3 linked regions of the Ovis aries genome follow. The protein of the gene in region 1 binds, or shares a complex with, the protein of each later gene. Links are inferred from orthologs where the notes say so. Each region holds a gene or a part of one and is shown on either strand. Other genes may lie near its edges.

Region 1 (4,391 bases):
GCCACAGAAGGAGCCTGTCCCTGCTGGTCCTGCGCGCAGGATGCCGCATGTGCGGCTGCAAACACAGGCTCAGCTCAGCTCTGCTCAAGGGAAATCAGGGGCTCTGGGCAGAGAGCAGCCCCTAAGAAACCCCTCTATCCAGAACACCAGAAGGCAACCTGCTTAGAGACGGGGTCACTGCAGGCGCAGCAGGTTGAGACGGGGTCACTGCAGGAGCAGCAGGTTGAGACGGGGTTGCAGTGTCTCCTGTCCAATGACTGGTGTTCTTGAAAAAGCAGGAGATTCACACACACACACAGAGGGCAGCAGAGGCAGAAACTGTCCGCTCAGTGTGGCCAGGCCCAAAGGCCACTGGCGCCTCGGGAGCTGGAAGAGGTGAAAGGACCCTCCCCAGAGCCTCGGAGGGAGCGCAGCCCTCCAACACCGGCACCCAGACCTGGGACAGGCTAGTCCCTTGTGGCTGGGAGCCGCCAGGCGCGGGCTGCATGGGCAGCTAGGAGGGCACACGAGGAATCCAGTGGCTGCGAGGCGCTTGGCCTGAGAAGGTGGTGGCTGGGGTGGGAGGAGGCTGGGATGCTGGCCGCTCATGGCGCGGGGGCGGGGGCCCTTCTAGAGCCTTCACAGGACACAGGGCGCCCCCAGCTCTCGGCAGGCCTCGCCAGCCCCCCTGCCCCGTGAGGAGAGTGAGGCTCAGAGGGGTGAGCCCCTCCAGAGCTGGAGAAGACGGAGCCAGGGCCCCCAGGGAGCTGAGCCCAGAGCGGCTACACCTGCCTCGTGTCCCCGAGGGGCTCGGAGTCCCCCCAACATCCTTCACAAATTCCACTACACCTGGGTCCTGAGGAACTGGTAGTTACTGATAGTGACGAGCAGAGAGTCCAGAGGCCATCAGCAGAGGGCTGTCTTCTTCTCGGAGAGGGAGCACCCGGGACCTGCAGGGACGGCTGGGCCCCGTCACCCCCGCACAGAGGAAGGCACAGGGCAGGTGTCCCCAGCCCACTGTTAACAGGAAAGGGGAGCCTCCTGAGGAGACCGGACACCTGAGGGGCCCCCGCAGGGAGACCACCAGCCCAGTGGCCCTGGGCACCCCGACTTCACCCTGAAAGTCCAGGGTCCTGAGAAACCTGTCCGTGCCCGGCAGCCGGGGCAGCTGGTCACCCCCCTCTGCGGCCCAGGGGCAGGAGGGCCCAAGGGACCCGCGTGGGGCTGAGACGCCACAGGGGCTGCTTGGGGGCACGCCCCTCCCCCGTGCCCCCCGAGCCAGGAGGACCACTCTGCAGCGCGCTCACAGTCACACCGCGGGCCCGCCGCCCTGCCGGGGCCATCACAGGGCAGCGGGCACCACTCCTCCCCAGCAGCCTCCCCAGAGCGGCACACGCCAGACACGCACCGCGGAGTCTTGGGTACGGAGCCCGTGGGGCGGCCCGGCCAGCCCCCGTCCGCAGGCCCTGCGCCAGGACTGCAGCACCCTCCCCCACCGCCTCCGGCTCTGGGAGAACTTTGCCCGCCCCGGGAAAGTCAACAGCCTGAGCGACCTAGGACCCTACCATGCTGCCCCAGGCCACGGCTCTGGCCCTCCTCTGCTTTCTGCTCAGCCTGCGGGGGTCCCTGCAGGCAGGTAAGTGGGGGGAGGTTCCCCATTAACCCCGTGGAAGGCCAGCTGCCCCCAAAGCTGGCCTGCATGGTAGGCACTCCCGTCTGCCGGGAGCCTGGCTGGAGGGTCCTCTCTGACCTGCCTGCCTTTCAAAAGATGAGCGGAGCCCCTGGAGCCCAGTCCCCTCCCAGACGCCTGGGGGCAGGCTCCCTGGCCACGGCGGGCCCTCCCCTGCCTCCACCGCCCCCCAGGCCGACGCGGGCTCAGAGGCGACCCGTCTCCCGCTCTGCTCTCAGCCGCTCGCTGGTGGACCCCCTCTCCCAGGGACAGGGCACAGATGCTGCGCCTGGTGCTCAGCCACCGCGGCAGTGAACACGACCCCCACCCACGAACGCGGAGAGGCCTGAGTGGGAACACGGGCGGGCGGCTCTGTGAGCGGTCACCACCGTGATTCCCCAGCCCCGAGGGGTGGCCGAGGCGGAAGCCAGGTGCCGACACCATCCCCTAGACCCGTCCACGTCTGCCCCGGCGCCCACACCGGCTGCGGGGCCCCACCCGCAGGCCTGCTCCAGTGCCGGTGGCCCCCCGGGTCCTTCCTGTTTAACCGTCTTTGTCCGCCTGGGGTCGCCGGGGGTGGGTCGTTAGCGCTGCCAGTGTCTGCAGCTCTCCCAGCGGCCACGTGTCTGCGGGGCTCAGAGCATCTCCTTAGGATAAACTGGAAGTGAAGGGACCCGGTTAAGGGCGTGGACATGTTATAATTAAACATGTCGCCTTCTCCTCCCATATGAAGCCTGTGCGGTGCTGCCCGTTGGCAGCCGTGAGAAACGCTCCTGCTGCAAACTAGCCAGGCTGTGGGTGGGAGGCCTGTGATCCCACCACCGGGGTGGGCAGGGGGCCTGTGATCCCATCACCGGGGTGGGGGGCAGGGGGCCTGTGATCCCATCACCGGGGTGGGGGGCAGGGGCCTGTGATCCCATCACCGGGGTGGGGGGCAGAGGGCCTGTGATCCCATCACCGAGGGGGGTCAGGGGGCCTGTGATCCCATCACCGAGGGGGGGCAGGGGCCTGTGATCGCATCATGGGGGGGCAGGGTGGTGGGGAGGTGCTGTTACAGGTGGGGGGATGGTGCCGTCGCCCCCGTGTCTCACAGCGTGCCCCCCAGTCTTCCTGCCCCAGGAGCAGGCCCTCAGCGTCCTGCATCGGCCCCGGCGTGCCAACGGGTTCCTGGAGGAGCTGCGGCCGGGCTCGCTGGAGCGGGAGTGCAAGGAGGAGCTCTGCTCCTTCGAGGAGGCCCGTGAGATCTTCCGCAACGAGGAGAGGACGGTGAGCTCACCCGGCGGGCCGGGGGCGGGTGGCGGGCTCTGGGCGCCAGGGGCCGGGGTCTCCCCATGCCAAGACCCCCTGCGCATCCTCACCCCTCATCCAGAAGCAGTTTCCTGTGCCCTCACCCCCCTGAGGATGGCCCCCGACCCCGTAAGCCGTCCAGGCCCCGGGCAGGGCCACCTGTCCAGCAGCCCTCAGAGACCCATTGGAGCCATCGGCGACCCCGGCCAGGGCCGCCTCAGGGATGCGCGAGTGGGGAGGGCGCAACTAGGGAGCCTGTGCCTCCCCCAGCGGGGCGGAGCAGGTGGGGCGGGCCTCCCCTCCCGCCCACGAGCAGAGAGGTCCCTGCTGAAACTGTCTCCTTCCAGGGGGCTGAGGATCAGGAGGCCAGAGACAGGACCCCCTCTCCCCACACACTCGAGGGACACCCCACATGGGACACACGTCTCACACGCATGGGACCCACACCTGGCATGGGACACGCATCACACACAGGACACACGTCTCACACGCATGGGGCCCACACCTGGCATGGGACACGCATCACACACAGGACACACGTCTCACACGCATGGGACCCACGTCTCACACGCACAGGACACACGTCTCACATGCATGGGACCCACACCTGGCACAGGACACGCATCACACACAGGACACATGTCTCACACGCATGGGACCCATGTCTCACACGCACAGGACACACGTCTCACATGCATGGGACCCACACCTGGCATGGGACACGCATCACACACACGACACACGTCTCACACGCATGGAACACGCACCTGGCACGGCGCACACTCTGCACTCGCAGGCAGGGCTCCCACGGCCCTTCCCCGCCGCGCTAAGGACGGTCACCCCTTGCGTCTGTGTGTGTGTTTGAGTCGCTCAGTCGTGTCTGCCTCTCTGCGACCCCACGCACTGTAGCCACCGGGCTCGCCTGTCCATGGTTCTCAGGCAGGAGAACCGGAGTGGATTGTGGTTTTCAGAACCTTCCAGCAGATTTCACCTTGGTGTGTTCTCACAGCAACAGAGCTGTTTTTCATTGGCCTAAAGATCCCTGGGGAATCCCTGTTACTGAAGAGGCCCCTGGAACTGGCAGGGCACTTTCACGTGTCTTTCCCACATTCTCCTTGGTCAGCGGGTGTCTGGACTGTCAGCACAGCATCGGGGGCAGCCCAGAGGCTCGGGGAGTGTGGGGTCTCACCCACGTTCACAGCTCCGACATGGCAGGGCTGGTGCTGAAGCCTAGGGTTGGAACTTGGGAGAGGAGATTCAGACCTCTGTGGCCTTAGCAATGGGAGGGGCGGGTATTAGAGAAAAAACTCGCTTCCCTGGATGAACCCACCTGTCTCCACAGGAGCGGTGTGGCTTCCAGAGCCCACTGGGAGGGCTGGTCGGAAGCCCCAGCCGCCCGGCGCCTCCCCCACAGGGACGTAAACGCTTGCCTAGGCGCCCACATCTCACGCGGCTT
Region 2 (3,631 bases), on another chromosome or scaffold:
ACTGACAGTAACTACAGGTTCATTGATATTTAGTCTCCCTCCTTGGGCAGCATCCTCATGATTTCTTTTATAGTTCATGAGGATCTTTTAAAATAATTTCCATTTATTTTTATTTTTGGCTGTGCTGGGCCCTCCTTGCTGCACGGGCCCCTCTCTAGGTGCAGTGCACAGGCTTCTCTTTTCGATGGCTCCTCTTGTGGAGACCAGCTCTAGGGTGCATGGCCTCAGTGACTGTGGTTTCTGGGCTCTGGAGCGCAGGCTCAGTAGTTGCGGCACAAGGGCGTAGTTGCTCTGAGGCATGTGGGATCTAACCAGATCAGGGATCGAGTCCCTGTCCCCTGCATTGGCCGGCAGATTCTTTAACACTGAGCCAACAGGCAAGCCCCGTTCTTGAGCTTCTTGTAAGCTACTTCATATCCTTTTTTGGTGCAAGAGAGAAAATAGTTTGTATTTCTGTGTGCTCATACACACACATCCTTGCCTATAATTCCTATTGAATTATGAGGATTTGTTTCACTATTATTCAACCAAAGCACATGAGATAATTGAGCCATCAAAGAGACCTGGTGGTTAAAAGTGATTTTTTGAGATACCAAGGACATTTCGTGGGCTTTCCCACAGCCTCTATTGTATCTAAAATATGGAATCTTTTGCAGCTGTTTGGTTAACCACATGTGGCTGTTGAGCGCTTGAAATGTCAGCTAATGCCGTATGTGTAAAATTTACACTGGATTTTGAGAAAGATCTCAAAGTTTTCATATTGATTGAATGTTAAAGTTATAATATTTTAGCCATATTGGGTTAAATGAAATAGATTAACTTCACTCACCTTTTTACTTTTTCTAATGAGACCACAAGGAGATAGATTTAAAGTGACATCTGTGGCTCCCAGTACATTTCCGCTAGACAGCACTGCTGTAGAATGTCTCTTGGTTCAGCTCCGGTGCCAGGGAGCTGGTTCTTTGAGGTATTTCATGAGGGATGACTAGGTGGTTATTAACCATGATAACTCAATGGGGTTCTACTTTGTATAGAACTCTTTAGTCCCAACGAAGCTCATTTTCTGTGTTTTAGCAAACCTTGGACAGCCAACAATTCGGAGTTTTGAACAAGTTGGGACAAAACTGAATGTGACCGTACAAGATGCACGTACGTTAGTCAGAGCAGACGGCAAATTTCTAAGCCTCCGGGATGTTTTTGGCAAGGACTTGAATTATACACTTTATTACTGGAAAGCTTCCAGTACAGGAAAGGTGAGCATTCTTTTGTTTTTATGACTTTTTAAAAATTGCAAATCCTTGATTTCACTTCTTCTCCAAGTCAAACATCAAAGCAAGTTGTTGACAGGGCAGTGTTGTAGAGTGGGAAGCAGACTGCTGTCTTGGTTCTGCCTGTGACTTCAGCTGCTTTGGACTGGCCCGCCTCGGGTACCCAGATTCCCAGCCAAGGGGCAGACCAGTCATCTCTAAGGTTCCCACTAGCTCCCACATTTCTTCTTCTATTGAGGATCCCAGAGACAGAATTTGTTTTTCATTCAACAATTAGTACTTCTTTCCTTTTTTCCTTTCTTGCAGATATCTTCTAATGGGGCTAAATATTGGGTTGACTGTATCCAAAGTGTCTTCATCCTTGGGGGAAAAAATCCTTAGCAGTTATCAGGGGGAGCTTGATGAGCCAACTGACTTCCAATCTTTATGTCAGATGTGTCCACATAGGCTGGGCTTCCCTGGTGGCTCAGGCCATAAAGAATCTGCCTGCAATACAGGAGACCCAGGTTCTATCCCGGAGCTGGAAAGATCCCTTGGGAAAGGGAATGGCTACCCACTCCAGTATTCTTGACTGGAGAATTCCATGGACTAAGGAGCCTGGCGGGCTACAGTCCATGGGGTTGCAGAGTCAGACACAACTGAGCGACTAACACTTTCATTTTACTACCACACGGACTTAGTAAAGGCAACAGAATTCACTCTGAGCCTGGATGAATAAAGAACTCTTATCTTTTAACAGAAAAAGGCCACGACAAACACTAATGGGTTTTTGATTGATGTGGATAAAGGCGAAAACTATTGTTTCCATGTTCAAGCAGTGATTCTATCACGAAGAGCTAACCAGAAGAGTCCAGAAAGTCCCATCGTGTGCACTAGCCACGAGAAAGGTCTGGCCACAGGTGAGGCTCTGCCCGCGGTCTGGGAGGCAGGGCTGCCTTCCGCGGGACTAGCTACACCCTCAGGACTAGACGTACTGTCTTCAGGGTTTCTTGTGGTTGGGGCAGGGGGAGGGTACTCATGATTTTAGACGTTTAGTTTCTGTGTCATTCCCTTGTATTAACAGGTGTTTTTTAGTTTTTTTTTTTTTTTTTCTCTAGCACCTAGCATGCACTAAGCTGAGCGAGCCCTGGGCCCATGGTAGATGTTTAGGATTTAGTATCAAATCACAGATTTCTCTGGGCATTTTTTCATACTCCTGGTTTGTGGTGAGCTTCACCAGCTCACCTGGGGAACTGGGTATAGCAACACCCCATAGACGTTTGTGAGCACCTATCATGGGCTGCTGTTGGCCCAGGGTCATAACCCATGAAGCAAAGGGATTGGGGCTAGCAGATACATGTGTACATGTGTGTGCCTCATTGGCACACGTGTGCACACATGTGCCACACCACAGCACAGACACCAGGTGAGGAGTGGATCTTGTCTGGAGGTGCCATGGAGGCTCAGACATGTGCACGAGACTGAGAGCCCAGGAATCTGCCTCCAGGCTTGATTGGGATTGTGCTCTGAGTAAGGGAACAGAAGAGTGAGAGGATAGTAATAATGACCTAGTGCCTTGCTGAGAGGTAGTTTAAATATTTTAAAGTCACTTTAAAAATTCTCTCCTGTTAACTGACAATGACAAAAGCAAAGGGCTCTCCTTCTCCCAGGTCCTGCACCATTTGGGCCATCACACCCGCAGCCCTCACATCCATCTTCCTAAAGCCAGCTTGAGTTCCCCTGCCTCGCTGTCTTCGCGCACACCTAGATCACTGCTTCCCCTGCCTCTTCTCTCTCTGCTGAAATGTGTCCTCTGAGAATCGTTTCATGTGCCACCTCTACCAGGAAGCCTTCTTATTGCCCCAACCAGTTATGTCTTCTTTATGTGAATCTGGGTAGCACTCTGTATCTCTCTTTGCACTGATAGTTCATCTTCTACTATAATCATTGCTACCCAGCTCGGCATCATCTTTAGCCACTTGTTTCTAACAGCTATTCTTGCTTCCATCTACATGTATCTTTCTAGACTGTGAGCATTATCCAGTTTGTTAAATGCTTTTTCATTGTTGTCAATTGCCTGCAAACATCTAGGGTTTGAGAGATTCTTTCCTAACAGAAATGTGTGGTGGAGAAAGGAGATTTCAAGTTACACAAAAGCTGGATGGTATAATTTGGGGTTATGCCCTGGGTTCTGCCCACTGAAAAATGAGATTCAGGCTCTCTCTCTGAGTTGACTTGGTACCTTTTATTTTTCAGAACTTTTCTTCATCATTGGAGCAGTGATGCTTGTGATCATCATCTTCATCGTCGTCCTGTCTGTGACTCTGCACAAGTGCAGGAAGGTGAGAGCAGGGCAAAGTGGGAAGGAGAACATGCCCCTCAAC
Region 3 (3,631 bases), on another chromosome or scaffold:
ATCATTCTGTCGTTTTTGAGATTGCATCCAAGTACTGCATTTCGGACTCTTGTTGACTATGATGGCTACTCCATTTCTTCTGAGGGATTCCTGCCCACGGTAGTAGATATAATGGTCATCTGAGTTAAATTCACCCATTCCACTCCATTTTAGTTCGCTGATTCCTAGAACGTCAACATTCACCCTTGCCCTCTCTTGTTTGATCACTTCCAATTTGCCTTGATTCATGGACCTGACATTCCAGGTTCTTATGCAATATTGCTCTTTACAACGTCGAATCTTGCTTCTATCACCAGTCCCATCCACAACTGGGTATTGTTTTTGCTTTGGCTCCATCCCTTCATTCTTTCTGGAGTTATTTCTCCACTGATCTCCAGTAGCATATTGGGCACCTAATGACCTGGGGAGTTCCTCTTTCAGTATCCTGTCATTTTGCCTTTTCATACTGTTCATGGGGTTCTCAAGGCAAGAATACTGAAGTGGCTTGCCATTCCCTTCTCCAGTGGACCACATTCTGTCAGACCTCTCCACCATGAGCTTTTGTGTAATAAAGTTTTATTAAAGTATAAAAGAGATAGAGAAAGCTTCTGACATAGGCATCAGAAGGGGGCAGAAAGAGTACCCGCTTGTTAGTGTTAGCAATGAAGTTATATACTCTCCAGTGAATCCAAAAAATGTCTGGAGGTTGTAAAGACCTCACCAGACCTACTCCCATAATTTACATTTTAAGATAACAGAATTAGCCAGAAGGTTTAATCCAGAGACTGTCCTCAGGCAGAATACATTGTTGTTATATAATCCTAAGAAGAGGTGGAAGAACTGTACAAAAAAGATCTTCATGACCCAGATAATCATGATGATGTGATCACTCATCTAGAGCCAGACATCCTGGAATGTGAAGTCAAGTGGGCCTTAGAAAGCATCACTACGAACAAAGCTAGTAGAGGTAATGGAATTCCAGTTGAGCTGTTTCAAATCCTGAAAGATGATGCTGTGAAAGTGCTGCACTCAATATGCCAGCAAATTTGGAAAACTCAGCAGTGGCCACAGGACTGGAAAAGGTCAGTTTTCACTCCAGTTCCAAAGAAAGGCAATGCAAAACAATGCTCAAACTACCGCACAATTGCACTCATCTCACACGCTAGTAAAGTAATGCTCAAAATTCTCCAAGCCAGGCTATAGCAATATGTGAACCGTGAACTCCCTGATGTTCAAGCTGGTTTTAGAAAAGGCAGAAGAACCAGAGATCAAATTCCCAACATCCGCTGGATCACTGAAAAAGCAAGAGAGTTCCAAAAAAACATCTCTTTCTGCTTTATTGACTATGCCAAAGCCTTTGACTGCGTGGATCACAATAAACTGTGAAAAATTCTGAAAGAGATGGGCATACCAGACCACCTAACCTACCTCTTAAGAAATTTGTATGCAGGTCAGGAAGCAACAGTTAGAACTGGACATGGAACAACAGACTGGTTCCAAATAGGAAAAGGAGTATGTCAAGGCTGTATATTGTCACCCTGCTTATTTAACTTCTATGCAGAGTACATCATGAGAAACGCTGGACTGGAAGAAACACAAGCTGGAATCAAGATTGCTGGGAGAAATATCAATAGCCTCAGATATGCAGATGACACCACCCTTATGGCAGAAAGTGAAGAGAAGCTAAAAAGCCTCTTGAATGTGAAAGAGGAGAGCGAAAAAGTTGGCTTAAAGCTCAACATTCAGAAAACGAAGATCTTGGCATCTGGTCCCGTCACTTCATGGGAAATAGATGGGAAACAGTAGAAACAGTGTCAGACTTTATTTTTTTGGGCTCCAAAATCACTGCAGATGGTGACTGCAGCCATGAAATTAAAAGACACTTACTCCTTGGAAGAAAAGTTATGACCAACCTAGATAGCATATTCAAAAGCAGAGACATTACTTTGCCGACTAAGGTCCGTCTAGTCAAGGCTATGGTTTTTCCAGTGGTCATGTATGGATGTGAGACTTGGACTGTGAAGAAGGCTGAGCACCGAAGAATTGATACTTTTGAACTGTGGTGTTGGAGAAGACTCTTGAGAGTCCCTTGGACTGGAAGGAGATCCAACCAGTCCATTCTGAAGGAGATCAACCCTGGGATTTCTTTGGAAGGAATGATGCTAAAGCTGAAACTCCAGTACTTTGGCCACCTCATGTGAAGAGTTGACTCATTGGAGAAGACTCTGATGCTGGGAGGGATTGGGGGTAGGAAGAGTAGGGGACGACTGAAGATGAGATGGCTGGATGGCATCATGGACTCGATGGACTCATGGACATCTGAGTGAACTCCGGGAGATGGTGATGGATAGGGAGGCCTGGCGTGCTGCGATTCATGGGGTCGCAGAGTCGGACACGACTGAGCAACTGAACTGAACTGAACACTTACTGAGTATTTACTATGTGTCACTGTTCTAAGTTTTCTACATGTATTAACTCATTTAATATTTAAAACAAGCCTGTTAGATAGATACCATTATTGATATTATCATTTCTCTAGTTATAAAGATAAGGAAACGGAAGCCTAGGAAGATTAAGTAACTTGCCTAGAGTTGGAAAGAGGTGGAGTCAGATAATCTTTCTCAAGAGCCCACACTCTTAACTCTTGCATTGTATTTCCTAATTCTTGCTCCTAAAAGACTTATCTAGGAAATAATTAAGAACTGGTAGGACCATATACACTCCAAGTATGATATCAGTTAAGAGATGAGAAAGCTATGTGGTCATTCAGAATTGGGTATATCATTTCCTTAAACTAAAACCTCCAACAGTATATGTCTTCTAGAAAAATAGAACTTTTGGGTACTGGAAAAGTTGACATTTAGTGTGATTTCATATTCTGGGATTCAGTCAGCCCATGATTTTTAACCCATGATCATTTTTGCCTTTTAGCATCCAGAGTCTAGACTTGGATATGTCTTTGATGGTATAACGCAGGGGCAAGGCCTTTTCCAGATCCCGTGACATGAGTGCAGTTTGCTGCTTCTTCCTCTGCTCCAAGACTGATTTAAAATAACCTCTCTGTTTCTGTTGAAGACATCAGAGTACCATGATATCATGTATCCTGCTTGGACATTTTGGGAAGGAGGACCCGCTGTTTGGCCAATATATCCTATGGGTCTTGGACGGTGGGACCTGTTCAGGGAAGATCTGGTAAGGTAGGTCCTCTGCTGCTGGTAGGTCCTCTAGAGAGGTTTTATTTGTCCCTCTTTTTGGGTCACCTTGAAGTAAATGGTTAAGTATAGACAATTATTTTCTCTAAAATGACTAACTTTTAAGCTAAAAGTAAAAGACACACAAAAAAACTTTATAGCATAAGCAATTTTATATGTGTATAGAAGTATTTACATATCCATAGAAAAAGAGCCAAAGAACTTACCCTAAAATGTCAGCAGTGCTTCTGTGGGAGGGATTATAGAAGCCTCTTTTTTTCTTCTTTAAATATTTCCATACTTTTAAGATTCTTTAAGAGTGAATTCCTTTTATAAGTAGGAAAGAATAAATGATCATATTGTGGGGAAGGATAGAAAATTACTTGGAAAAAAAAAAGAAAATTACTTGGAAGAACATAAATGTACTTTATAATTAAGAGCCAAGTTCTTCAGGCAGGGAT

Evidence for each region.
Region 2: the proteins of F7 (region 1) and F3 are in contact, whole or in part, in a crystal structure (PDB 6R2W), measured with the Homo sapiens proteins. The link is inferred for Ovis aries from reciprocal best matches to the Homo sapiens genes F7 and F3. Residues at the interface, in NP_000122.1 of Homo sapiens: Leu73, Lys78, Phe91, Arg96, Leu99, Phe100, Ser103, Ser120, Lys122, Gln124, Leu125, Ile129, Cys130, Phe131, Cys132, Leu133, Pro134, Phe136, Glu137, Gly138, Arg139, Lys145, Gln148, Ile150, Val152, Asn153, Glu154; in NP_001984.1 of Homo sapiens: Thr49, Asn50, Lys52, Ile54, Glu56, Trp77, Lys78, Ser79, Lys80, Phe82, Tyr83, Glu88, Asp90, Asp93, Gly141, Gln142, Thr144, Glu162, Arg163, Thr164, Leu165, Arg167, Phe172, Tyr188, Trp190, Lys191, Ser192, Ser194, Ser195, Gly196.
Region 3: the proteins of F7 (region 1) and POGLUT1 are in contact, whole or in part, in a crystal structure (PDB 5L0S), measured with the Homo sapiens proteins. The link is inferred for Ovis aries from reciprocal best matches to the Homo sapiens genes F7 and POGLUT1. Residues at the interface, in NP_000122.1 of Homo sapiens: Asp108, Gln109, Cys110, Ala111, Ser112, Ser113, Pro114, Cys115, Gln116, Asn117, Gly118, Gly119, Cys121, Gln126, Ser127, Tyr128, Arg139, Asn140; in NP_689518.1 of Homo sapiens: Met103, Phe104, Pro105, Ser106, Arg107, Arg132, Asp133, Pro171, Ala172, Trp174, Pro178, Thr179, Thr214, Asn239, Gln240, Ala241, Val274.

The regions. Positions count from the first base shown.
Region 1 is NC_056063.1:85,832,364-85,836,754, forward strand, and holds the start of F7 (coagulation factor VII), read left to right. Parts: upstream 1-1,520; 5' UTR 1,521-1,545; coding exon 1,546-1,615; intron 1,616-2,741; coding exon 2,742-2,914; intron 2,915-4,391. UniProt on the Homo sapiens protein: Initiates the extrinsic pathway of blood coagulation. Serine protease that circulates in the blood in a zymogen form. Factor VII is converted to factor VIIa by factor Xa, factor XIIa, factor IXa, or thrombin by minor proteolysis.
Region 2 is NC_056054.1:71,635,828-71,639,458, reverse strand, and holds part of F3 (tissue factor), read left to right. Parts: intron 1-1,074; coding exon 1,075-1,253; intron 1,254-2,007; coding exon 2,008-2,167; intron 2,168-3,503; coding exon 3,504-3,631. UniProt on the Homo sapiens protein: Initiates blood coagulation by forming a complex with circulating factor VII or VIIa. The [TF:VIIa] complex activates factors IX or X by specific limited proteolysis.
Region 3 is NC_056054.1:185,127,330-185,130,960, forward strand, and holds part of POGLUT1 (protein O-glucosyltransferase 1), read left to right. Parts: intron 1-3,054; coding exon 3,055-3,176; intron 3,177-3,631. UniProt on the Homo sapiens protein: Dual specificity glycosyltransferase that catalyzes the transfer of glucose and xylose from UDP-glucose and UDP-xylose, respectively, to a serine residue found in the consensus sequence of C-X-S-X-P-C.